5 linked regions of the Nothobranchius furzeri genome follow. The protein of the gene in region 3 interacts with the protein of the main gene of each other region in a pairwise test. Links are inferred from orthologs where the notes say so. Each region holds a gene or a part of one and is shown on either strand. Other genes may lie near its edges.

Region 1 (5,043 bases), on a different chromosome or scaffold from region 3:
ACCACTAATGATGCCCATATATTGTGCACCCCTAATAGATACTGTCTGAAACTGGATTTATTCATGTACAGAAACAGACTTGGTACAATAATAATCTCCTGATTTCTGCAGGTAAACACTCACTTGGAAAAGGAGGCGCTCACCTTGCTGCTGCGTCGGCTGGATGTTAAAACCTCCAAATCCAGTTGCTCCTAATCCAGTTCCAAACCCTGATGTTCCAGTAGCGGTACCGGTTCCCAGTCCTGCTGGGAATCCAAACCCTTTGTTGGCTGTGTTCCCAAACAGGCCTCCTAAGACAAAACGCATTCAAAAGCAACAAATTAAAACCCAAAAAAGAAAAGATGCTGTCAGCTCTGCAGAAGGAACACAGCAACAAGGAGAGCCCCGTGTTTTGGTAAAGTGAGACATCTTGTAGCAGCTCAGTGTTCATGCTAGAACAAGAATATAGCATCATAGAACCTGCTGTTTTGGTTGTTTATTTGGGATAAAATAGTAACTTGAACTGGTGTTAATAGGACATCACCTGCATCTTACACATGTTCTTAAACATTCATTTGTGATTTTATAGTAAATAAACTGAAATGGTAATTGGCATTTCTGTGTCAGAGGACTCGAAAGTGCTTCCACGAAGAACAGTCATTCACACGCTGGAAGTAGACCGGACTGGAAGTAAATGGGCGTGGCTTAGGCTCTCTACTGCTGTTTATTACATTTCCGCTGGTCCGTCCCCTAAAGTGTACGAATGGTACGTGCAACTTTTATGTTCCTGCCGTGCTTAGCAGCTGTTTTTAGGCATTTCATTATATATTTTTTTTATATATTTATAAATTGTTATTGAATTGGCAAGTGTCACAGTGCAATCGATTGATTAAATGGTGAATCTGCTCACCATTACTGATTAGCAGACGAGAAGTGTCATCTCATGCAATTCCCAAACTGGAAACCTAACCTGCTCTGGAGAATCAGCAGGGTCTCAGTAAAAATATCTTGTAAAGGCATGAGACCTCTAACGGTCAATCACCACTTTGACTACTAGTAGCAGTATTCACCAGCACCTTCAGAGTAACATGTAAAGCTGGGGGGTGGTTCCATCAATATATATTTTTTATATTCAAGTTAGTCCAAATTCTTCCTAATGTCGCCACGCACAGCTTTAATATTTATTTTGCTCTAAATGTGTACTCACAGAGGTTACTCTGTTACTAACCTGTTGTATTGGAGGGGGTAGTAAAGCTGAAAGTGGACCCCGGTGCAGCAGCTGTTGTTGTCGTTGCCCCAAAGCCACCAAATGTACCTGGAAAGGAAATCAAAGAATAATCCCTCCAATGAAAGGAGTTAAAGGGAAAGGAGATGAGAGAACAAGAGTTGGAAATCACTGGGTGCATGGTGAGTAGCAGAAAAGTATTTCTGGCAATGATCAAATGACATCCATCAAACATGATGTTCTGCAAAAAATGTACTGAATGTCCACATTCATCATCACACAAGATGAGAGCATAGTTTAACACAGTCTTTCATGCAAAAACAGTGAAACTTCAGAACATAGATGTATAAGAGTCACCAGGTGAGATGGAGAAAGAAAAACACTGCATCACATGGAGGTGGACACAAACGATTTTTGCAAACACAAAATGAACTCGATCACAGAGATCATCTACCTGTGCTAGTCAGGCTATTACCAAAATTGAAAATAGTGCCAGTAGTGGTTGCTGTACCAAAGCACCCTGCATTAAAGCTGATTGCTGCTGGGTTGGCATTTAAACCAAACCCCCCAAAACTAAACCCGCCAGCCATGGTGCTTCCAGCTCCAAGCCCCCCAAATCCTGTAGCCGAAGCAGGCAGGCAGCAAGAAGAAAGTAACACGGAGTTAAATGACACAATGCTACATTTGGCACCAGCTCTTCAGTGAGTTAATCGTCTAAAAATCAACAAAACGAATGAAACGCGCTTTAAAACTAATGTTTGTCCTACCCGTGTTGGTGGAGCCAAAGCTAAATCCTGTAGCGGGTGCAGAAGTGGAGGTGACAGTCCCAAAACCAGGAGCTGTTAGAGCTTTTTCACACACACACACACACACACACACACACACACACACACACACACACACACACACACACACACACACACACACACACACACGAATGAAAGCCAAAACAAAACACAGAAGACCTCTTGAATGTGGGTCAGGAGCGTGACTTACTGCCAAACCCTGAAGAAGCGGTGGTCGTGGTGGCCGTGGGGTTGAATCCAAACGTGGTTGATGCCGTCGTCTTGGCACCAAATGCGCCGAATGAGAACCCGGGCGCGCCTTTAAAAGAACATAAACGAGTCTTTAAATGTTGGATTACATCTCTACTGTATCCTTCGATGCTTTTCTGAAAACTTCATACAGTAGCTAACTAGTAGCTGATTCGTAGCATGACGCTAACATGGGGAGGCTTTACTGCTAAAGGTAGATGACCAAGTAATCTGTCCCGCATCTGAATACGTAACAAACTAGTTATGACTTTAACTTAAAACGTGGAACACAACCCACTGAAGTTTGCTGCATTGGCCGGATTGTGAGATTACATGATGCTTCAACAGCAGTTAGCTTGCGACACGTACTAACTACATATGCTAGTAATGCGTTCATATCCTTGTGGCGTCTGGTTTATGACACATATCCGACACAGCTTTCGCTAAGAGAAAGAATACAAAGTAGAGGTAACTAAAGTCCATACTTGCTTCTGTATTGCTCGTGGCGCCGCCAAAACTAAACGCCATGTTGGCGAATGTCAGTTCTTCTTCGTCGCTTCTTTTCTTCTTCTCCTGTTTGATGTTTTATGCCAGTTGGCGACCAACGTCGTGCCACATTACTGCCACCAACTGGCACGGAGTGTGGACTGGTTAGTACACATGTGTGCGTTTTCCTACATAATCAATCAATCAAAGCTTTAATTATAAAGCGCCTTCCACGACCCTGTCAGGAAGCCAAAGGCGCTGAAACTAGAGTTAGTCTAATCGTTTCTGTATTTCTCAACACATCGTTCATACTCATAGACTGTTCATACTTCAACAAAGCAACGCTCTTCCGCCACCTAGTGTCCGGATTTTAACATTGTTCAGCTTTAATTTGATCAACTTTATAGTACAAATAAAAACACGACGAGCTATTATGTTCGAAAAAAGAAAACAGTCATATTTCAATGAATGAGCATACATAAAAATAAGCACAAGAAAATAAAGTATTAGAGGAAGTGCTTACATTCTAAATAATATAAAGGGAATCTCCAATTATTAGAAGCTTTTGAGGTTTATTAGTCCTTGAAGAGCCATGAACCGTATATTATTATTATTATTATTATTATTATTATTATTATTATCCATACAAACTATACATACATTTTATTATAAATTACCTTTGGTAACACAGAATCATTCATGAGTTTAGTTTGAGTACAAAAGAATTAGCAAGCCACCCTATATCCTTTTGCTTGTGCTACAGTCGATCTAGATTTCTGGGCTATTACATGAATGCAAACATACACACATGAAATAAAAAATATTCTGAATTGTTTTACAAAAGACAAGACTCATTCATTTATATAGCTTGCCATCTTTTCAAGTATTAGTAGAGCCAACAGATGAGCTTATAGACAGTTCTAACGAGAAACAGGCTTCAACACAAGCAGGTGTTTTCCGCTTGGTCCTAGTGCTCAACCAGTGCCAATTTAATGTAGCGTAATATTGTTTGTGGATGGTAAAAAGTGCAGGGGACAAAAATTGACTTTTGAAAAAGTGGGGGGACATCTTCCCCCTCCCCCCTCCAAAAAAAAAACTAAGTCCATGTATGGGTGAATTTATATTTGCTGCTGCTATGCAAGTATGGCAAAGATATTTACAAATAAAAACGAATAGAATATTATGTAAACTTGAAACTTATCGTAACGCTTGTCAAAGTTACAGATTTTGGAGGTTTCATCCTTGCTCCCGTGTCTGCAGCTAATCTCCTGTATTTTAATTCCCTCTGCACTCACATCTTATTCACCAAACTCAGAGGCAAACACAGAACTACTGAAACTACTTTTTTATTTTGTGTACAGAGTAAAAACAACAAGATGCAACATTTCATAGCAAGCAGACACTCAGGACACGTGTTTGTAGCAGTAACAATCAATTCACAGAGATTGTATCTAATCAGCATTTGGCACAAAGTAGCCCAGTGTAACATCTACGTGGTGCTTTCAGTGTTTTGGTTTGATCAGTGTAACAACATAATTTAACCTCCTTCAACAGAACTGGACTAATGTTGAATAATACTGTTTGTTACATCAGAAACTAGTTATCTATTAGTCCACCCGCTCATTAATTCTAATCTCCTTCACTATAAAACCTCTACGACTTCGGTGTATTTTAATGTTGTACAATTAAACAAAGAAGGAACAAAAATCTAAGTATTATCTGTTATGTACATTGTGGTTGTTCCATTGTGTACATTGTGAGATGGGGTGAAATAACAGAACTAAATACTCTTAGAAACGTTACAACAAAGTAAAAGAGCAGGATAAAAAAGCTGGGCTCATCACAGTTTCACTTGAATCATTCCACAGCGTTTTCTTTTAGAAATCATGAAATGTGACTGAAAAATCAACATTTTCCCCAATGCAAAGAGAAAAAACACACAAGTGTCACTCTGTTTTTGTTTGTTATCTGTATGCACTGTAGAGTAGATGGATTATAGGCTGTAACAACTATTTTATACATAGAAATGAACATAACTATCTATTTCAGCTCCTTTTAAAGTCACAGCTACAGCATAAAAACACAGCAGTGTTAGTGTCAGGATCTCAGAGCAGAATTGTGGCTGTGCTCGTTATAAAACTACTAGACTCATGCTCAAGCTGGTCTACATTCAATAGTTTCTACATTTATAGGAAAGAGAGAAAGAAAAAGCAACAGGTGTCACAATTCACAGGAAATCCAAACACAAAGTGTTTGTTTTTTTACCTTAATCCCTGTCATACACACACAGGAACAAAAGTGGTTCAACACACTCCGTTT
Region 2 (4,913 bases), on a different chromosome or scaffold from region 3:
TTGCTCTGCTAATCTGTTGAACAGTGTGGCTTGAATATTGCTATAATTAAACTAGCATGTTTTGGGCAACTCCATATTTTTATGTCTAGATTTTCTTGTAATGTTTTACAGTATTTCAACAGTATTCTATTGACCTTTTACTCTTTGGGTATAAAAAGGTTCCAAAAAATCAGCAAACAAATTTAAATTGGATTTAGACACTTTGGACTTTTCTGGAATTGAGATGTTTATTCCAGAAGCCAACTTAAAGAAGAGCCCTTTCATTCCTCATGAACTAAATTAAAAAACTGTGCTAAATCTTGCTGCTCACAGAGTATTTAGGAGGGGAGGTAATGAAAATTGGAAATGGAAAGAACATCAGTTCTCCATAAACCGGCCACAGTCAGGTGCACTACATAAGATTCTTTTACGAGGAGTCCAAAGAACAATCAGGAAAGTTCTCCAAGAGTTAAGAACAACCGGAGCAGAACTTCAGGAAGACCTTGCATCAGCAGGCACAGTTGTTTTTCGAAAGGAAACTATATGCAAGGCACTGAACCATCATGGCATCCATGCATGCTCACCACACAAGACTCTATTGCTGAACAAAAAGGCTTGTTGAGTCTCGGTTAATGTTAGTGAAACAGCATTTGGAGAAGCCTGTGGAATACTGGGAGACTATAATATAAATTTGGCTCTCATTCTGCACCATGTTTGAAGAAAAAATGGCACTGCCCACCTCCCATATCAACAGTTAAGTTTGGGGGTGGAAGCATCATGATGTGGGGCTGCTTTTCAGCAAGGGGTACTGGCAGGCTTCAAATTATTAAAGGCAAAATGAATGGAGAAAAGTACCGGGACATTCTGGAATAAAATCTACTGCCACCTACCAGCTAAAAACAGACAAAGGGTGGTTCATTTGTTGTGAGATGATGATCCCAAACACAAGGCCAAGGGAACAATGAATTGGTTTCAAAGGGAAAAAAAATCAAGTTGCTTGAATGGCCCAGTCAATCACCTGACCCAAATCCCATAGAAAATCAAAAGAGAACTGAAGATCAAAGTTCATAAAAGAGGCCAAAGGAACCTTTAAGATTTAAAGATCGTTTGTGTAGAAAAATGGGCCAGAATCACTCCTGTGCAATGCAGACAACTGGTCTCTCCATACAAGAGGCGTCTAGAAGCTGTAATCACCAAAACACACACACACACACAACCATCCATTGACTTCCATTTCATTGTGACTGTATAATGCCTATGCATAACCAGTGCTGCTGTATTCCTAACCCTAACCTCAACAAAAACTTCATTCCCACCATACCTCTAAAACCAACTGGTAAGCTCTCTAAAATAGCGAGGACCGCACTCATTCCCTCTGTTGGTTTAAAATCTCATGATGGTCCTCAGTACGTAGTAAGTACAAGAACACACACACAAGGCTCTGAGAGAAGAGACGTGCTTTACACATTAAAACGAAACGTACGTTGTGCTGAAAATGAAAATATGAAATCAGAGAGGCGGAGCATCACATCATTGTTCAGCACCCCCCACCAGACCTGCTTTTCTAACAATGGCTGCTCTCTGCTGATTCATTCAAAGCCTTGGATCTGAGGGGTGTTCATTTCTGGGTCAGTGCACAGGATGCCACACTGAATAGTGAACAGAGATTCTCACTACACTCACTGACTACACACATACATCATACTGTGAGCCTCTGAACCAGGAGCTCACACGCAACCGGTGTATCCTCGAAAAGCAGCAGCGGTTCTCTCAGAGATCTGAGACAGCAAGGGTTCTCCTGTTTGTGACACTTTGAAGTGTTGAATCCTCCCAGTGCTGTTAAACTGGGAAGTTACTGGTCAGAAAACAAATGAAAATATTCCAGTAAACGGGTGGAAGAGATCATTCTCTGACTGGTAAGATCATTTACTTTATTCAAACTCAAACTGAGCTCAGTGCAGCGACATTGGTTTGACTGCTGATCTGTTGATTTTTGTCACAGAGTGGTTGCTCAGATGGTGAAAGATTTAGACAAAAATCTTTGTGTAAAAAGCTAAAATACAGACAAGTTTATAGTGAAGTAGCATAGAACCTGATTTTCAAATTAATTTCTGCCATTTAGTATTTCTGATGTGTTTCATAACTTAAATTTTCATGATCACAATAGTTACTGCTCCTATTCATAAAGAAATGCCTTTACTGTTTTTTCTCTTTGTCTTTTGTCCTTAGTTGTGTTTGAGAAAACTTCCTGATTTTGTGTCACTGGATTCAGATTCAGTCCCAACAAAGAGGATGAGGTCGCCTTACTTCCCAGCGAGAACGGTGCTCTTCCACAAGGAGCCTAACGGAGTGACGTACCGAGTCCCAGCCCTGATCTACGTGTCCCGGTTCAGGACTTTTCTGGCTTTCTGTGAGGAGAGACTCAGCCCGTCTGACTCCCAGGCTCACCTGCTCATCATGAGGAAAGGAACTTTCTACAGGAACTACGTGGAGGTCACTGACCTGTCATTCTGGGTTTTTTTTATATCATACAAAAACATTTGTTTAGAAATCGTTTGAATTGATTACTGTTGGCTTTAACTGTAATTCTTTACATTTTTATTCTGTTTCAGTGGGAGGACATGCGAGTTCTGGGTACCGCCTTTCTGCCGGGTCACAGGTCCATGAACCCGTGTCCCGTGTACGATGAGTTCACAGGGACACTTTTACTGTTCTTCATCGCTGTTCTGGGTAACACCTCAGAGTCCTACCAGCTGGTGACGGGGAACAACGTGACCCGACTCTGCTTCATCTCCAGTACTGACGGGGGTGACTCCTGGAGTCCAGTCACCGACCTCACCAAGGCAGTCATCGGAGACACCATCAAAGGTCACCGAACCCAGACAAACCTTAACCCTAGATGAAAACTACACCGTCAAGTTGCACTTCAGGTTTATTTGATCAGATCCAATAACTTATAAAATATCCAAAATAATAAATAAAATAACATATCAGAAATAACAGCAGGTAGGTCAACAAAATGAATGCATTTTAAATTAAATAATGTTAAAGATCTGGTTCATCTGATAAGAATAACAGGAAGAAGCTTTCAGAATAATTGGATGACACTGATTGGTCCCCTTTATTTCCTCCCTCCTGACAGAATGGGCTACGTTTGCTCTGGGTCCGGGTCATGGCATCCAGCTAAAGTCGGGTCGTCTTCTGATTCCTGCCTACTCCTACCACATTGACTGTAAGGAGTGCTTCGGACAGCTTTGCCAGACCACTCCGCATTCATTCTGCTTCCACAGCGACACCCACGGGAGGAGCTGGCGTTTCGGCGAGGCTATTCCGGCTCCAGAGAGTGTGGAATGTCAGATGGTGTCCGTGGATGAAGAGGATGGCACCAACGTGCTGTACTGTAATGCACGCAGCCCTCTGGGATACAGGGTGCAGGCCCTGAGTCTGGATGATGGAGCTGTGTTTCAGGAGGGGCAGCTAGTGCATCGGCTGGTGGAGCCTAGAAACGGTTGTCATGGTAGCATTGTTGGATTTCCTGCTCCTTTGCATCTACAGCAAACTCTACAGCATCCCACAGGTCACTCCAGGCACTGGACGTCATTCCTGGACTCCAACAAAACGACAGAATCATCTTCAAACATCACACCTCATCATGATGCTCATCCAGACTTCCTGACCCCTACATGGGTGGTATATTCCCACCCAACTTGGGCCACAGCACGTAAGGATCTAGGTGTGTTCCTCAGCCTGTTTCCTCGTGATCCAGACAGCTGGCGGGGCCCCTGGGTGATCTACGAGGGTCCCAGCGCATACTCAGACCTGACCTACCTGGAGCTGTCCCCCTCGCCTGGGGCACCGCCGGCTGTGGCCTTCGCCTGCCTCTTCGAGTGTGGCTCTAAAACCGCCTACGATGAAATCTGCTTTAGTATCTTCACCCTGCATGAGTTGATTGATAATTTGCCCGGGGCTGTGCAGCATTTGGGTGAGACGGGATGCAAACGCGAGACCCCAGGAACAACAGTCCAATGGGAACCTCGAGTGAAGAGGAGGAGGAGAAAGCTCATGAAGACGTGCTCTATCTCTTGAAGAGTTAAATGTTTATTCTCTTTTTTTTAATCACCAAGCTGGGTTTGCTTGTCAACTATATTAAGTTCTGTAGAACTTCCTGTTAAATATAGGTAGGAAAGATGTTTAATGTAAGTTTTGTAGTTTTTTTTAAATAGATTTTAATTGTAAAGATTTAATTTTGACATTTCATGTGTGGAGTTTTTATTTCTTCTTGTGAAAATGCTCAGAGAATTAATTTAAATAAGAATACAAATCATTGCTGGTTTGCAAGAGGAACTAATTCAGAGGTGTCTCTAATCAACACACCTGATTTTAATCAGTTGGTGCTTAACAAGCTTCATCTGATGACCTAGCCTAGTGAACCAGACCAAATTCTTGCTTTGCAAAGTTTGCAAGTAATACATTTATTTAGTCTGGCTTGCCAGGCTACTGATGACCTGCTGAACAGGTAAATTAATTGGTGAATCAGGTGTGTTGGAGCAGGAAAAAAACTTTTTTGAAGCAGGACAGTGGTAGCCTGGCAAGCCAGACTAAATAAAGGTATTATTTAGTCTGGCCACGCTCCATTGACGGCTCTCGGTTGTGGGGCGGGTTCTACCGTTGTCTTTCAAATGATCTCCACATTCCACTGGACAATGAATATGACATACTCTTGTTTCACTCTGTTGCATCATCCCACCCACCAGGCATATAGAGTGCCCTGATTGGCCCACAAAGCGGATAAAGCTCTGTGATTTGTTCACTAAGCAGATAGAGCACTATGATTGGCCCACCATTATGGACCAATCACAGCTCTTTATGTGTTTGAAACCCCTCTAGAGAGCTGTGATTGGCTAGCCAGAGTCCTGGTAGGAGCTGTGGAGGTT
Region 3 (4,990 bases):
TATTTCGTTATCACCAAGTTAACTGTGTATACCTGAGCAAGCAAGTAAATTAATGCATTATTATGATTCTTAATCTGGTACAATGGTGTCTGGTTTCAGGGAGACAGGCTGAGTCGCTTGGGCTTCTGCAGTCTAACCTCAGGAAGTGTCACATTTAATCTGAACTGCATCCAACAAGCCAGGTAAAGACCAGTTTAATCAACAAGCAGCTGTTTCTGATTTTCTCCCTGACAGCTTAACAGTTTATATGGAATGAATAAAACATCAGAAGTGAGATTTACTCTCTGCACTGCATGCAAAACACTATTTCTTAATGCAAATGCAAGTGTTCCATTTACAAATTTCACAAAGATCTGTATTATTAATGCAAATTGTTTCATCTTTACTTTTAAAAAGTGTTTACTGTTCGCTTCTGGTTGTTTCAGGGCCTTTGTTGACGCTGCCATTCAGAAAAAGAGGAGGCAGAAAGTCATCGACCAGCTGGGAGGATTTAGTCAGCAGGGAGATGTTTGCAATGTTCTGGGTAAACATACTCACACAGTATTTGCATCAGGGTTTAAAAGACTTTCACTTCCTGTTTGCTGCTGAGTGTATCCTTGTTTGTGTGAGCTGTGAGTTCTGTGTGTGTGGTTAAGTGAAAAAGTTTACTGTAATCAGGCTCTGAATGTTCCACCATTTATTATTTTTACCATGAAATGATTTTATGATAGCGGGAGTGAAAATTAGCATAATGCCACCAGTTAGCCTCTGTCAGCGAGCGTCAGGGCAGCTGTGGCTACATCGTAGCTCATCACCATCAGTGTGTAAATGTGTGTGTGAATGGATGAATGATACACTGTAGTGTACAGCGCTTTGGAGTCCTTACTCTGAGAGGCGCTATACAATTATGGGTCATTTATCATTTAGATTCTCGTTATTTCAAACCACTGGAAGATGGATTTGTTAGGACACTCACAAAATGTTATGGACTGTATACCAAGCCTTGCATTGCAGCTTGATTGCCCAAAGTAGACAAAAATGTAGAAAGAACAGGGAATTTTTCTGCAGGGTTAATTTAATTTGTATTTTCTGTTTGTTTGTTTTATTTCCCTTCAGAGGCCTTTCAAAGAGCATACAAAAAGCTACAAGAGGCCAGAGAAACGTTCCCACAAAAAGCCATCAACTCTACTTCCCAACTCGAGCTGGAATTTTCTGCATAAAAACCAAAAACACACTAAAACTGACATTTCAAGATGCATTTAGGATCCTGCACAAGCTTCCAAAACTGAAAAGTTTGTCTCAAGTCATCTTCTGTTCTTCTCAGACTGTAACTGACATTTTATTGACAAATGTTATTAACTTAAAAAATCATCAGAAACGATTTATTACACCAACATTAGGAGATGGAGCATAACACTTGTCTAATAAATGTACTATAATACCAGCAGTTTTTTTTTACAAAATTCAAGGTACTGTTTTCTTTTATTATTTATTTTACTGTTTATTTTTCTTATCTGAAATAAAGGTTAACTAAATAAAAATTAAATATGCAATGAAGTGGTATATTTTCCCCATTTTTAAAACAAAACAAATGGACTGAAACCCGCATTATCTGACTGCGGGTTGTCCTCCAACGTAGCATTCGTTTTAGCTCCAAAGGGAAGTAGTCCAATTTTCCATGACTGTAAACGCACCATTCTCCATCTTCCTCCAACCAGGGAAAGGACCGTTCAGCGATTTTCCCTCTCAGTTTCACACACGACCAGGTACTTAAGTACACATATTTCACGTTAATTTTGCAATCGTGTAATTTTTTGATGTGTAAATTGTGTGTCTTAGTCAATGTATGGCTGCTTTAGCGTATCTCTAGTAGGCATGTAGCGATGGGAACTGGGCCGCTGGTCGCTTTTCTCTTTTTTGTGTCAGATTTAGCCTAATGCTCAAACGAAAACTGAAATCGGTTTTCTGAAACTAAAACCCTGGTGGTTATTTAGATTCACTGTTTGGGGCTGTTTACTGCGGAATGAGTGTTGATGCTTTTTTTCGTACATAGCCGTTAAGCTAACCAATGTTAGCTAAGGGGAATTATGTATTAAGTTGATGTTTCTGGATTAAAAGTGTCACGCCCTGAAACAGTGAACTGTCTCGACTAGTGCCTGTGGGATTATCGTAAATATTTAATAGAGGTGTACAGTTTGAGGCAAATAGTTGCTTAAATGTCTCTGAAGCCATAACGTATATTTGGCAACGGGCTCCTCATTGAAACGCTCGCGAGCCACCAGCGTCATAAACAAACAGAACAAGGTCAAATCTGATGTCGGATCACTTATGTGTCCTGCAGATTTTTACAAAAAGCCTGCAAATTTTTTCAAAAAGTCTAACAGATCTTATGGAAACACACGCCTAAGGACTTTTTTAATGATTGTGTGAATGTTTTGTATTTGTTGAGGCAAAAATAAAATAATTCAAATGCAGCTCATGTGAATCATTTCTTCCTGCAGCAAGGATTTACTTACAAATCTAGCTGCTGTGAATTGTTGTAGCCCTTTTAAATGAGGTTAGAAATAAACGCCAAGGATGATAACATTTAGAGGCCAACCAATATATCGGCCGATATTTTCTATCTTTTCTATGTAGGACGAAATTATTTTTAAAAGCAGATTTAAGAAAAAATTAAATAAATCGGGCACCTGTATGACCAACTGCCACTACTACTAGACTGAAGAAAGGACCCAACACACCGTTTTTTAAAGAGCAAGTCACCCCCAAATCAATTTTTTATGTTTTCTGATATAAATGTGAGTCATCATGCTGCAGACACGTGTAGTCGAAAGTTTAGCGCTTTAGTGCATTTTAGTTACAATTATAACTTTCGGCCTATAACTGTCAGTGTTGTGCCGTTGTCAGGTAAAAACTCTGCACTGCATTTGAATTTAAATCTGCCATCACTATTGGCTAAGAGGTACCCTAAAATGTTAGCTGGTACCATATGATGTTACAATGTTGTTGTGAGCCTGTGTGTGTGTATTTGTTAGCGGCTCCACCCTCGGTCTGCTAGGCAACTGCATTTGTTGCATATTTCAAACAGGAAGTGGGAGTGGAGTAACGCCGGGGACACACCGGCCGCGGAAGCGCCGAGAAGCGAATCGCTCACGAAATTCGGCCGCTGCTCGCCGCTCCTCAGTTCAGATCAGACGCGCTCCAGTCGAGGCGCGCCTCGGCTCAGCTGTAGTTTTTCTTTTAAACACTTGGTGTCCTCCATTTCCTCTCTGCCTTTTCTCAGCTCTTTTCCTCTACGTTTGAGTGTGTGTGTGTGTGTGTGAACCTATGGTATGAGTTGTTTCTGTCTGTTGAATCTCTTGGAACCCGCTCCAATTCTGCAGCTGTATCCTAGCAGTTTCTTCCGAAATGGGTTCGTAAATAACCATGTTTTTCGGGGGTCGTACAGCTCCTTGTGTTTCTCAACTTCCATAATTAATTTAAAGTCATCCATCTTAACTGCTTGCCTCAGACTTTCTGCCTCTCTGTCCTGTTTGCTCCGGTGAAAAGACACCCAAAACCACACCCCCTTCACGTGCTCACACACGCACACAAGTTCAATGTGTGTGTATGTCTGTGTGTGTTCGTGTGGTTTTTCTGCAGTGTCTGATTACGAACACATTTGACTATTGCGGAATTTTATTTTGAAATGCTTTATTTTGTTAACTTTACCGGCCTGCCTCTTATGTCTAGGTTTGACTTCCTGCCAGAATTGACGCGATTCACTCGCGGCTTGCGAAAAAAATAGAGCCGACGCCGAAATGATCGCTGCACGGCGTGGGCTGGAGCGCCGGCGCGCGCCGGCCCGAGGCGATTCGCGGCGCTTCAGCGGCTCATGTGGTCTATAGAATAGTTTAACAAGGGCGCCGAATGAAGGCGGTCCCATTTTTGCGGCGCTTCCGCGGCCGGTGTGTCCCCGGCGTAATACTCTGGTAGGGGGTGACCTGTTCTTTAATGTTTTGAGTTTGTTTTGTATTTGAAGTTGAATAAAAATAGATTTATTGACCTATTTAATTTATATTGCACATAGTGAGTGTTCAGTTGTCTTTCACAATAAATGTGCTGCTAAAACACGTATATATCGGCCTTAATAATTGGCTTTAAATGTCGGCGATCAGCAACAAAATTCTTTAAAAATATGCATCGGCCTTAAAAAAACCATATCGGTCGGTCTCTCATAACATTTGTACATTAAACCAATCTTTTCTTTACAGACTAAACTCATAATGCCAGATTCCTTTATTTTTGTTTGCCCTGATCCCCTTAGTAAAGCTTAAGGAGGCCTTGCCTCAGGATTTAAGGTGGTTCTTCATGATGTTAGAAAGCAACCATGCTAACAATTCTTCTATTACAAGTTGGAACATGCAGGTGTTTTGCACCAAACACTATGAAATGATTCATATCATTATCTGGGTTAACATTCTAGAAGTTTTCTTATGTATGCATATACCAACATGCATTAGACGCCATTCCAAATTGCTGTATATTGTTTGAATTTTAATGATGACATGATCATTAATGCAATGCAGATCAGAGTGAATGATGATGACAGTAAAAATCAAAAGATTTGAGATTTATTAACTGTCCGTCTTTTGGAAAACAAATGATGCCGTTTTCCCTATTGATGTTGTTTGCAGGCTTAAAGGGCCAGAATCATGACAGACTCCAAATATTTCACCACAAACAAAAAAGGTGAGTTGGGAAATGTTATAGAAATGGGCCAAAATTGAGTAAGAAAACCCTAAAATTCCACAGATTATTTCCACTTGATAGTACATTCATGCTGTTCAGCCATTTACTCTCTATGGTTCATTTTTCAGGGGAGATCTTTGAGCTGAAGGCAGAGCTGAACAATGAGAAGAAGGAGAAGAGAAAAGAGGCAGTGAAGAAGGTCATCGCTGCCATGACTGTGGGCAAAGATGTTAGGTACATTAGCATATTAAACTTGGGTTGTAAGCCTTTAAACTTCTGA
Region 4 (5,076 bases), about 14 Mb from region 3:
TGGAGCTGAAGACAAACACATACAGAAGAAGTAGTTTTTACTGAAAAACCTGCTTATGGGATAATTTATAAGGTGTTCAAGGCTGCAAGTATAAAAAATGTGAATTTATTCCTGCAGCTGGCTTTTTCTTACCAGTTGTTTCCAGGACTTTTTGGATTTTACTGATAGCAGCTTTTTTCTCTTCGTCTAGATCTTTGGCTGTGATGGTGTAGCCCAGCTCAGGAGGTGGAGGCTGCACATGAACAACCACAATAATGCAATCTGGATGCAAATAAACAAATGTGAGGGAGATCAGCGCTCCTCACCAGAGAGATGCGATCATCTCGGTGGCTGGACACCAGCTGGATCTTCCGTTTTCTCTTCCCACCACTTCCAGTCGAGTCTGCAGAGGTTGTGACTGGGGATTTGATCACCGGAGTTTGTTTTACTGCAATATTATGAAACAACATCATATTTGTTTGTGACCATACTTTGAACATGAATCATCTAAATTGGAAAAGTCATCTACAGATAAATGGGAATTACTGGTATCAAGGGTCTTGTCTGATGCAGTGTGGTCCGACTTCACTGAGGATGCAGAGCTTGGAGACTGAGTGTCATCCTCTCTGTTGATTAGAAAACATAAAAAAAGCTTTAATTTGTAGTTAAATGTGGTTTAATGATGACAAACATGCAGAAACAGACCTGGGTCTTTTGGCAAATCCCTCTGGAGTCTGAGAGCGAGACGATTCAGGGCTCGATAGAGGAGAGCTGGGTGCAGATGGTTTCTTCCACTGTAAAGAAAAACAAAAAATGCTTCGATTTGCTTTTGCTATGCAAAAACCCCCTTTACTAGACTCCGGTAGATGAAGATACCTGACTAAAACCTATCGAAGAGCTGTAGGAGCTTTGGATTGCATTTCTTCTGGTACCCGAAGTTCCTCTCGGGGCATGAACTCCAGAACTAGAGCTGATGGAGGAGGTGCGAGACCTCTTCATGGTGGTCTCGTCTAAGGATGCGGTCATCCCTCTTTTTAGGCTCCCTGGTCTGGAGAACATTAATAAAAACAACATTTAAAGCTTTGTCCAACATCTAAGATTATGATTCAGCTTTACATACAATTCTTACTCACTTAGGGACCAGCTGGGATGGTGCTCCATTAGGCAACAGAGGCTCAAAAGCAGAGTGCGAACTTCCACCGCTGTCATTGCGCCTAAGAAAAGCCATAAAAAGAAACCATAAGACAGCTGCTATTGTCCAGACTGAGCAGACAGTACCTCAAGAATCTATTAAACAAATTTTCTACCTTCTTTTGCTTCTTTGCTCAGCGGTGAAGCTCCTGTCCTCATCCTCTACTTCCCTCTTGCGGCTTTCCTTCAACACCTTGAGGACGCTCTCTCTGGAGCAGGGGTCTGCCGGGACCCTGGTGAGCCCTGCACAACTCAGATGATTCACACTAAAAACCAGAGCAGAGGACAGTCAGCACTGATTCGGCTGAAAGTAGCAAGACCTCAAGCAACAAATCAAGGGCTATCCAAATAGTAAATTAAAAGACAAAAAATTAAAAATTAAAAATAAACGGTCGTGCCCAAAAACATTTAACCTGCAGAGACCTGGGAATGTTGTGGTCGGGCCTGGCGATCTTTACAGTGACGGGACTGAGAGCAGCAGGGGAATTTCGAGGACTCAGGATGTTCTTTTTTCTGAAACCATCCCACTTGACAGGAGGCAGGACTCCTACTGAGGAGACTCCAGGCTGCTGAAGGGGGTAGCGACGCTGGGGGGTGATGGTGAACCTGTTAGCTGCACCCAGAGGCTCCCTGCAGAGGAGATTGTAATGGAAGGAACAACTTCAGCAGGTTAAAACGTACAGATGTTATGGAATAGAAATAAAACAATATAAAACAATCACTTTACATGTGAAACATGCAGCTGCATAGAAAAAGAAACTATGCTGCTCATCCTAACCAAAAAGTAAAGATATGCACTTTAACGAAAAGTTAGTAAAATGCTCTGTTAGTTTTTAGACAACACAAGCGTGTAGACACAACAAGCCATCAAAACAAAAGATTTATCACAGTAACTTAGCTAAAAGCATGAGTAAAAGAAGCCAATGAAACAAAGTTATTGGATGTTTTTAAAACGATTCCAAGTTAAAGAGTTCTGGTTAGAGCTTTATACGTTTCAAACATGTGGGTTTTGTGTGCTAACAAGCTAGCTAACGCTATAAACATTTCTTTTTCATGCAACACGTGAATTTAAACAGATGGATCAGAGCTTAATAAACCTAATTAACTCACCCAGAGAACGAAAGCCTCCTGTTCGGGGTATAAACTGCATGGTTGGGTCTGGACAGTTGTTCTCGCAGTTGCTCCCGGGGATTTCTCCCGGCTTTTGGCCTCCCAGAGACGGCCGCTGGACTTTCGGCTTTCCCGATGTAACTCCCCATGAGAAAATCCCGAGGGCTGAAAAGAATCGAGTCACTTGCTAAGGCTTCTCCTCGACAGAGCCCGGTTTTACTGAGCTTCGGGAGTCCCTCTGTCTCCCGGTGATGGTGCTCGGATCGGTTGCGGTTCTTCGTTCTACTCCGCGCGGCCACCGAGACGCCGGTCGCTGTCCAACCCGACGACCAGCGCCGCAGCACGCCCGAAACGTTTAATCCAACCCGAGGATTCGGGCCTAACCTGGCGGGAAACGATTCTCCGCTGTGATAATAAAAAGCAAAACAACAAGCTGCAAAAATTAAAGTAGCGTACAGAAAAGTGGGGATGTAGTAAAAAGCGAAGGTGATTAATCCTAAAACAGAGAGAAGCGCTAACTGTTTCTCCCTAGGTGACATGGCGGTAGCGCGCCGCCTCTCTCGCATTCAACATGCTGCTGCTCTATCCAACTGCTCGCGCGGCAGCGCTCCCTACCGAGCACAGGAGCGAACTACACCATCAATCCACACGTCACCGTGCACACTCGCCTATGCACGCAAGCACACACTCACAGCAGACTTACCGCTCAGGGAAATAGCAGACTCAGATTCTGCAGCATTCTGGAGGGTTTCCTGTTAACCGCGATCATTAGATGAAAAAGGAGAGGAGGGCGTTTTTTTCAAGGAGGCATGGGGCAAGCGGCTCCGAGCGCCAACTTGTCACATCGGCAGGTGAGTGGTTGAGCCAGGTGGAGGTGCGGCTACCTCAGCTGGAGACCAGTGCACTGCAGCCACGTGGTGATTTGCTGACAATGTCACGTTTTTCAGCTTAGCCATCAGCTGTGGCTGATTCTAAATAAATGTGGAGCAGTTTTTAACCTGAAGATGGAGATATAAAGTTTTGGGCCGAAATTAAATTTAAAGTTGCACCAAATTGCCACACTGATTACACATCTACAGACAAAAAAGTTAATTTAGATGTTACTCTTAAAAGTAAAAGACTCATGCGGAGTTAAAAGCCATAAAAAAGGGGTTTCAAAAGAGATTTAAAACAAGACAGCGATGATGCCAACCTAATATTTAAAGGCAGCACATTCCAGACTACACTAAAAGCCCCCACCTCAGAGGCTAGGTCTCATTCTTGGGACTTCCAGGAGCATCCATCTCATCAGCTGACCTTAGACCCACAGGAGTAGAACAGCAGCAGCTCAAAAGTAATGTTGAGTAAGGCCCTAAGGCCATGCATAGATTTTAAAGTACCTTATACTGGATACTAAAGCAAGCAGGTAGCAGTGCATTGATGCCAAGACAAGGGTAATGCTCCATCTTTATCCCAGTATTGTAACCTTCGCTTTAAATTAAACGTTAGGTTTCACAAACATGTTTTGATGACTCTTCCCTGCTTGTGAAACAATTTCAAAGATAGATAAGTCTGAATTATTTGCTGTAACCACAAATACATATACTTCCTTCTGAAAGCTCAGATCTGCCCTCAAAATATGCTAACATTAAGTTTTACATGCATTTGATATTTATGAGCTGTTAGTGTGGAGATCTAGTGGGATTTGGAATTAAGTTTGAGATTTAATTTTGAAGGCAATTGTGGCAGATTTTTTTTTGTTAACACCGTTTACATGTTGCCATCTAAAATTGGTCTATTCTGCAACTTTTAGAAGTCTGTTTAATTGGCTTCAGGGGAAACTGCTGAACAATTTTTGTAAAACATTTCAAATGAAAGCAAAAGCAAATTTAACCTTTTATTGTGATAACGGAACATTTTTGGTCACAAGTTAAAAACAAATGTAACTTTTAATTTCCAAGCATTACATGGCAAATGAAACCAACTGTGGAACCATGACTTTACTGCCCACCCCTCAGACGCAGGACAAGGTGGAGGGTGGACTCCTTCTGAATGTTGTAGTCTGAGAGGGTGCGGCCATCTTCAAGCTGCTTGCCAGCAAAGATCAGCCTCTGCTGATCTGGGGGGATGCCTTCCTTGTCCTGGATCTTAGCTTTGACATTCTCAATGGTGTCACTTGGCTCGACCTCCAGGGTGATGGTCTTTCCTGTGAGGGTCTTGACAAAGATCTGCATTCCACCCCTCAGACGCAGGACAAGGTGGAGGGTGGACTCCTTCTGAATGTTGTAGTCTGAGAGGGTGCGGCCATCTTCAAGCTGCTTGCCAGCAAAGATCAGCCTCTGCTGATCTGGGGGGATGCCTTCCTTGTCCTGGATCTTAGCTTTGACATTCTCAATAGTGTCACTTGGCTCGACCTCCAGGGTGATGGTCTTTCCTGTGAGGGTCTTGACAAAGATCTGCATTCCACCCCTCAGACGCAGGACAAGGTGGAGGGTGGACTCCTTCTGAATGTTGTAGTCTGAGAGGGTGCGGCCATCTTCAAGCTGCTTGCCAGCAAAGATCAGCCTCTGCTGATCTGGGGGGATGCCTTCCTTGTCCTGGATCTTAGCTTTGACATTCTCAATGGTGTCACTTGGCTCGACCTCCAGGGTGATGGTCTTTCCTGTGAGGGTCTTGACGAAGATCTGCATTCCACCCCTAAGACGCAGGACAAGGTGGAGGGTGGACTCCTTCTGAATGTTGTAGTCAGAGAGGGTGCGGCCATCTTCAAGCTGCTTGCCAGCAAAGATCAGCCTCTGCTGATCTGGGGGGATGCCT
Region 5 (4,815 bases), on a different chromosome or scaffold from region 3:
TTTTTCACATTTTCTGACCATTTTCTCTCGTTTCTTAATATAAATGTTCTAATTTAGGCTGTAAAACAAGACTCATGGAGATCAACTTTAAACATCCATATGCATAAATAATGAGCTACAGACAGATTTGAAGCACGTTTAATAAGTTATTGAATATTTTTTTTACTTAAAAACTTATTTCATTGTTCAGATTTACTCTAAGTTTTATTAGATTTGAAACTTTCGTAATCCGGCGTGATTTAGGTGAACACTACAATAGTAATAATAGAGGAAAACACAATTCAGAATGGAGTATACGAGTAGGCAATAAAGAAAAAAGCAGAATTTGGGTAAAAATAAATAAATGCATTTGAAGCAGATTTATTGTCTTGTGTTTGGAGCAGAGATTAGATTATTTAATTAGAACGGGGCTAGCTCTGGTGTCCAGGGATGGTTGTGTCCTCTGCGCAGTAGTACCTGGTAGTGATGTGTCGGTCGCGAACGAACCGGCTCTAAGAGCCGACTCTTTGAAGTGAACGATGGGAGCCCTCCCCCTCCCCCCCTGCCTTGGTGAAAGCTGCAGGTGATTGGTCAACATGTGTAACTGCGTGTCCAGACTGTCCACACACAGAGCAGTAGGGGCGGAGAAGAGGGAGGATCAGACTCAGACACACAGCAGAGCACATGCGGGCGGAGGGAGGCGAGCGGGAATGAGGAGGAGGAAAAAGGCAGAGAGAGGAGAGTGCGACGAAGACGGTGAGAAAATTAGCGCCAGCAGTCGGAAAGTGGAGATTTCTTAAAGTGTTCAGTTATTAAATCCATAGAAATGATAAATATTTGATACACAGCATTTTTTTACATTAGTAAATCATTTTACAAATAGTTTTGCATTATTTTGGTTATAAATGTATTCTGCGCAAAAGAAAATCTGAGGAGCCACTTGGGAGCCGAAAGAGCCGGCTCTTTTTGGTGAGCTGAGCCATTCCCATCACTAGTACCAGGACCAGAGTGAATAGGGTGTGTGTGTGTGTGTGTGTGTGTGTGTGTGTGTGTGTAAGCATGAGGGATGCATGTACGTCAGGTGGGGTCTTGGACTCCTCTCCTCTGCTGAGACATCTTGAGGTGTTACGACATCTTCGCGTACCCTCCTGCCACTTGTTCTACCGGTGGGCGGTGCCTCGGTCTGCCTGCATATCTAAATGCACTATGAATTATTATGGTATGCTTCCCAGCATAAGCAGTTACTGTTATATATCCTCATGCTGTTGGAGCAGCGATGTTTTGTCTTGTTGTATTTTTGTGTGTCTCCTTTTCACGCTCTCTCTCTCTCTCTCTCTCTCTCTCTCTCTCTCTCTCTCTCTCTCTCTCTCTCTCTCTCTCTCCAGAAGCTGATTCTTCTTCATCATTTATTATTTATATAATTCATCCTCCCTCACCTCTTCCTTCACTCTCCCCCTTTCTCTCACAGCTGTCTCTGTGTCCGAAAGTGTTGCTAATAAAGTTTTGGTGTCAGCAGTGGCTACGGCAGAAGCTGTGAGCTCCACCTGAGAGAATAAAGCTGCAAGGCTCGTCTTCAGCAGTCAGACATCAGTTCTGGTTGCTTCACAGCCGGACAGGACACGGTAAAAAGACAACAAAAGGATATTTGTATGAAATCAAGTGATAGTTATTAAAAGCATTCAAAGAAAAGATGTTTTTTGTCCAACTGCTCTTCTGTGACTATTTTATTTTATCCTTTACTTATTTTATTTTTATTTTTTTTATCTGCAACGATTTATAATAAAAAAAATTCTAACAAGTTTCGCTTCACACACTAAAATGACAGTTACCAGGAAGAGAGGCCAATCAGGGGGCAGAACGCGGGTCAGGTGACCCTGTCTCCGCCGCCATGTTTGTTATTGGCAGTGAAGCCTGATCGGACTGACGGCAACGAGGTTTGGCGGAGGTTCGGTTCGTTTTCTGGGATGAAACAATGGTCCAGACGTGCTCAGCCTATGGCTGTAAGAACCGGTACCACAAAGACAAAGATGTCTCCTTCCACAAGTAAGTTCGGCTCCGGTGTTTCTGCGCCGACTCTCGTTAGCCCGCCCGAGCTTCGGTCCGGTCTCAGAAACAGCCTCGTTCAGTCACAGCAGTCTATTCATTCATGTTTTCGTGCTGAATGAAGCAGAAGTCCGAGCAGCGGCCTCACAGAGGAACCACCTGTTCAACAGGTGTCCAGGTGTTGTAGTCCCATTAGTCTGACATGTTGGAGCAAAACCAGAGCAGCTAGTGGTTAGGACCAGTTTATTCTACAAACACAGAAACACCTCCAGTTGTCCAGACTGGTGGAGCATAAAACCAGGTGTGGCGAGGCCTCAGGCTAGATGTGGAGGGGCATCAGAGCAGGTGTGGAGCAGCAGCAGCCAAGTGAGGAGGAGCATAAAACCAGGTGTGGAGAGAACTCAGGCCAGGTGTGGAGGAGCGTCGGCGCAGGTGTGTTTCACACTTCCTGGTGTTTAGATAAACATTCAGTACTTCAGTAAAGTTGCTGTAATTAATGCGGCGTCATCGGGTCACGTGGAGAAACTCAGGTTTTTATTAAAAGTCGTTTATTTTATCGCTGGAATCATTTTGGATTTTTTCACTAAAATCTTCATCATTCTGCTTTCTCACAGATCAGCTACAGAGGCTGGTTCTGGCTCGGGTTCTGGTTCCTCCAGAACTCATCAGTCACTTTGTCTGAGTTGACGTTTGTTCATTTTCATCACCACCACCGTGCTTTGCTCTGATGGAGTGAGAACATGTCCTCCTTCCGGTGGAGGTCATGACCTCCATGCTAATCATCTCTGGCTGTAGAGACGGTCTGGATTTGTCCTCAGAACCAGAACCAGACCAAAGCTCCGTCATCCTCTCCTGATCTAGAGCAGACTGGACTCACAGGATGGGTCCTTTTTAGTCCACTGGACCTGGTTTCTTTTCTCAGCCTCTGATGGTTTGGGTTCCTGACGGTTCTTGAAGACGTTTCGGATCTTCTCGTGTTTCTACCTGCAGCCGTCGGTTTTACTGAGCCCAGTTGTGTTTAGAAGTAGAAGTGATGAGGTAGTTCTGTTTCACCTGTCTTCAGTGTTGGGAGTAACGACGTTTAAATATAACGGCGTTGCTAACGGCGTTCTTTTTTAGGTAACGGAATAATTTAATTGATTACTTTTCCCACTGCTGCAACGCCGTTACCGTTACCACGTGCTTGTCGAACGTTGAGCAGCAGCGTGAGGCTTTCTGACCGCCACACTTCAGCTGCAGCCAGGGAGAGAGAGGTGTCGGTAACGCACTTACAAACACGATGGTGATTGGCCGGGTGGGCGGAGACCCTCACGGTCTCAGTCGCTGCATTCTGTAGACACAACAGAGCAGTGATGGGAATAACGCCGTTTAAAATAACCGCGTTAATAAAAAAAAAGTGTTCCTGTAACGAGCAAACTAATTAATTACCGTCTTCTTTTATCAAAACGTCATTTCTGTTACTGATAAGGAAATGCGTGCGTTAAGCAGCGCGGTGTGTTGAAGCTGTCATCAGCTGATCAGGAGCTAAAGAGGTAGATGTTTTCATCCAAGAGCATCACGGACCGTGAAGAACGAGGAAGACGTGATGAATGATTCGCTGCTGCAGTAGCGAATCTGTGGGTCTGCAGCCGTGCTCTTAGCGTGACAGCGGGACGTCCCGAAGGTCCGCTCACCTGTTCACCTCTCAGACGTCCTGATCTTCTACCTTCCTAGATCATCCAGCTGTAACCTGTTTCTGATCATGTCTTTAGTCCCGCTGTAACACTGATGCATCAGTCTCAGACGTCATGGAGCTCAGGTGTTATCAGAACTACCTGTGTGTGTTTACCACCCAGCTTCAGCTCTTCTGTGGTTGGGTCTGACCCAAGTTAGTAAATGTAAGTCCTCCATCAGGCTTGTGCCTCTTCTAGTGTCATTTTAAAGGATTTTATTTATTTATTTAACCGTTACTAGATTACCTGCAACAGAAATGCTACTAAAAACACACAATTATGTGAAGCTGGAAAAATTAAAATACCGTAGAAAATTACATTTATTTCTGTAATTTAACTAGACTGAGAGACCATTTAAAGGCTCGGGAACCTTTACAGGTGTTTCTATTTGCAATTTTAAATGTTAGCTGATTGGGTTTTTGTTAAATATCACACAGAGACCTTTTAATAGTCTAGATAAGTGTAATGTTCCTATTAGTAGTTCCTCCTGTTAAGTGCTTATTTATTTAAATTATTCAGGTTTTATTATGTTCCAGTCATTAGTCATTTATATTTCACTATTATAGTAATTCTTGCATTCTTTAATGAAAAAAGTAACTAAGTAGTTATTTTTCTTGGTAATTAGTTACTTTTATAATCTTGTAACTGAGTTACTTTTTTTGACAAAGTAATCAGTAACTATAACTAATTGCTTTTTAAAGTAACGTTCCCAACACTGCCTGTCTTCATCTGAATGACGTTCCTGTGAGGACTTCACTTCCCCAGCTGTTGTACCATTTGACGTGTTTTCCCAGGTTTCCTTTGGCCCGTCCAGATGTTTGTGGGAAATGGGTCGCTGCCATGAGGAGGAACAACTTCAAACCCACCAAGTACAGCAACATCTGCTCCCAGCATTTCACCAAAGACTGCTTCAAGAGGGAGTGCAACAACCGGGTTCTCAAGGAGAACGCCGTCCCGTCGCTGTTCACCTTTACCCTCAGCATGAAGGTCAGAGTCCCAGTGTGGTTCTGGTTCTGGATGTGAATGTTTTGGGCCCTGAAGGCTTTAACCCTGAGACTCTGAAGTGTGGTTTAAAATCCCA

The links.
Region 1: the proteins of AP-1 complex subunit beta-1 (region 3) and nucleoporin p54 interact in binary tests that used the Homo sapiens proteins (3 or more experiments, as listed by UniProt). The two-hybrid records come from large-scale screens. The link is inferred for Nothobranchius furzeri from reciprocal best matches to the Homo sapiens genes AP2B1 and NUP54.
Region 2: the proteins of AP-1 complex subunit beta-1 (region 3) and neu4 interact in binary tests that used the Homo sapiens proteins (3 or more experiments, as listed by UniProt). The two-hybrid records come from large-scale screens. The link is inferred for Nothobranchius furzeri from reciprocal best matches to the Homo sapiens genes AP2B1 and NEU4.
Region 4: the proteins of AP-1 complex subunit beta-1 (region 3) and pom121 interact in binary tests that used the Homo sapiens proteins (3 or more experiments, as listed by UniProt). The two-hybrid records come from large-scale screens. The link is inferred for Nothobranchius furzeri from reciprocal best matches to the Homo sapiens genes AP2B1 and POM121.
Region 5: the proteins of AP-1 complex subunit beta-1 (region 3) and thap1 interact in binary tests that used the Homo sapiens proteins (3 or more experiments, as listed by UniProt). The two-hybrid records come from large-scale screens. The link is inferred for Nothobranchius furzeri from reciprocal best matches to the Homo sapiens genes AP2B1 and THAP1.

What each region holds. Positions count from the first base shown.
Region 1 is NC_091746.1:59,724,237-59,729,279, reverse strand, and holds the start of nucleoporin p54, read right to left. Parts: upstream 2,980-5,043; 5' UTR 2,767-2,979; coding exon 2,724-2,766; intron 2,309-2,723; coding exon 2,201-2,308; intron 2,053-2,200; coding exon 1,972-2,052; intron 1,824-1,971; coding exon 1,659-1,823; intron 1,295-1,658; coding exon 1,208-1,294; intron 291-1,207; coding exon 144-290; intron 1-143. UniProt on the Homo sapiens protein: Component of the nuclear pore complex, a complex required for the trafficking across the nuclear membrane.
Region 2 is NC_091753.1:42,144,509-42,149,421, reverse strand, and holds neu4 (sialidase-4), read left to right. Parts: upstream 1-2,056; 5' UTR 2,057-2,271; coding exon 2,272-2,472; intron 2,473-2,591; coding exon 2,592-2,847; intron 2,848-3,121; coding exon 3,122-4,065; 3' UTR 4,066-4,234; downstream 4,235-4,913. UniProt on the Homo sapiens protein: Exo-alpha-sialidase that catalyzes the hydrolytic cleavage of the terminal sialic acid (N-acetylneuraminic acid, Neu5Ac) of a glycan moiety in the catabolism of glycolipids, glycoproteins and oligosacharides.
Region 3 is NC_091750.1:66,891,532-66,896,521, forward strand, and holds the start of AP-1 complex subunit beta-1, read left to right. Parts: upstream 1-1,614; 5' UTR 1,615-1,745; intron 1,746-4,655; 5' UTR 4,656-4,673; coding exon 4,674-4,710; intron 4,711-4,836; exon of another isoform or gene 4,837-4,838; coding exon 4,839-4,944; intron 4,945-4,990. Other genes in the region: tectonic-like complex member MKS1, read left to right, coding at 100-182, 426-523, 1,096-1,199. UniProt on the Homo sapiens protein: Component of the adaptor protein complex 2 (AP-2). Adaptor protein complexes function in protein transport via transport vesicles in different membrane traffic pathways.
Region 4 is NC_091750.1:52,614,844-52,619,919, forward strand, and holds the start of pom121 (nuclear envelope pore membrane protein POM 121), read right to left. Parts: upstream 2,980-5,076; 5' UTR 2,847-2,979; coding exon 2,281-2,846; intron 1,801-2,280; coding exon 1,594-1,800; intron 1,437-1,593; coding exon 1,287-1,436; intron 1,194-1,286; coding exon 1,113-1,193; intron 1,028-1,112; coding exon 856-1,027; intron 774-855; coding exon 685-773; intron 606-684; coding exon 526-605; intron 428-525; coding exon 306-427; intron 233-305; coding exon 133-232; intron 6-132; coding exon 1-5. Other genes in the region: polyubiquitin-C, read right to left, coding at 4,260-5,076. UniProt on the Homo sapiens protein: Essential component of the nuclear pore complex (NPC). The repeat-containing domain may be involved in anchoring components of the pore complex to the pore membrane. When overexpressed in cells induces the formation of cytoplasmic annulate lamellae (AL).
Region 5 is NC_091746.1:71,097,089-71,101,903, reverse strand, and holds the start of thap1 (THAP domain-containing protein 1), read left to right. Parts: upstream 1-1,836; 5' UTR 1,837-1,951; coding exon 1,952-2,022; intron 2,023-3,764; exon of another isoform or gene 3,765-3,897; coding exon of another isoform or gene 3,898-3,899; intron 3,900-4,528; coding exon 4,529-4,721; intron 4,722-4,815. UniProt on the Homo sapiens protein: DNA-binding transcription regulator that regulates endothelial cell proliferation and G1/S cell-cycle progression.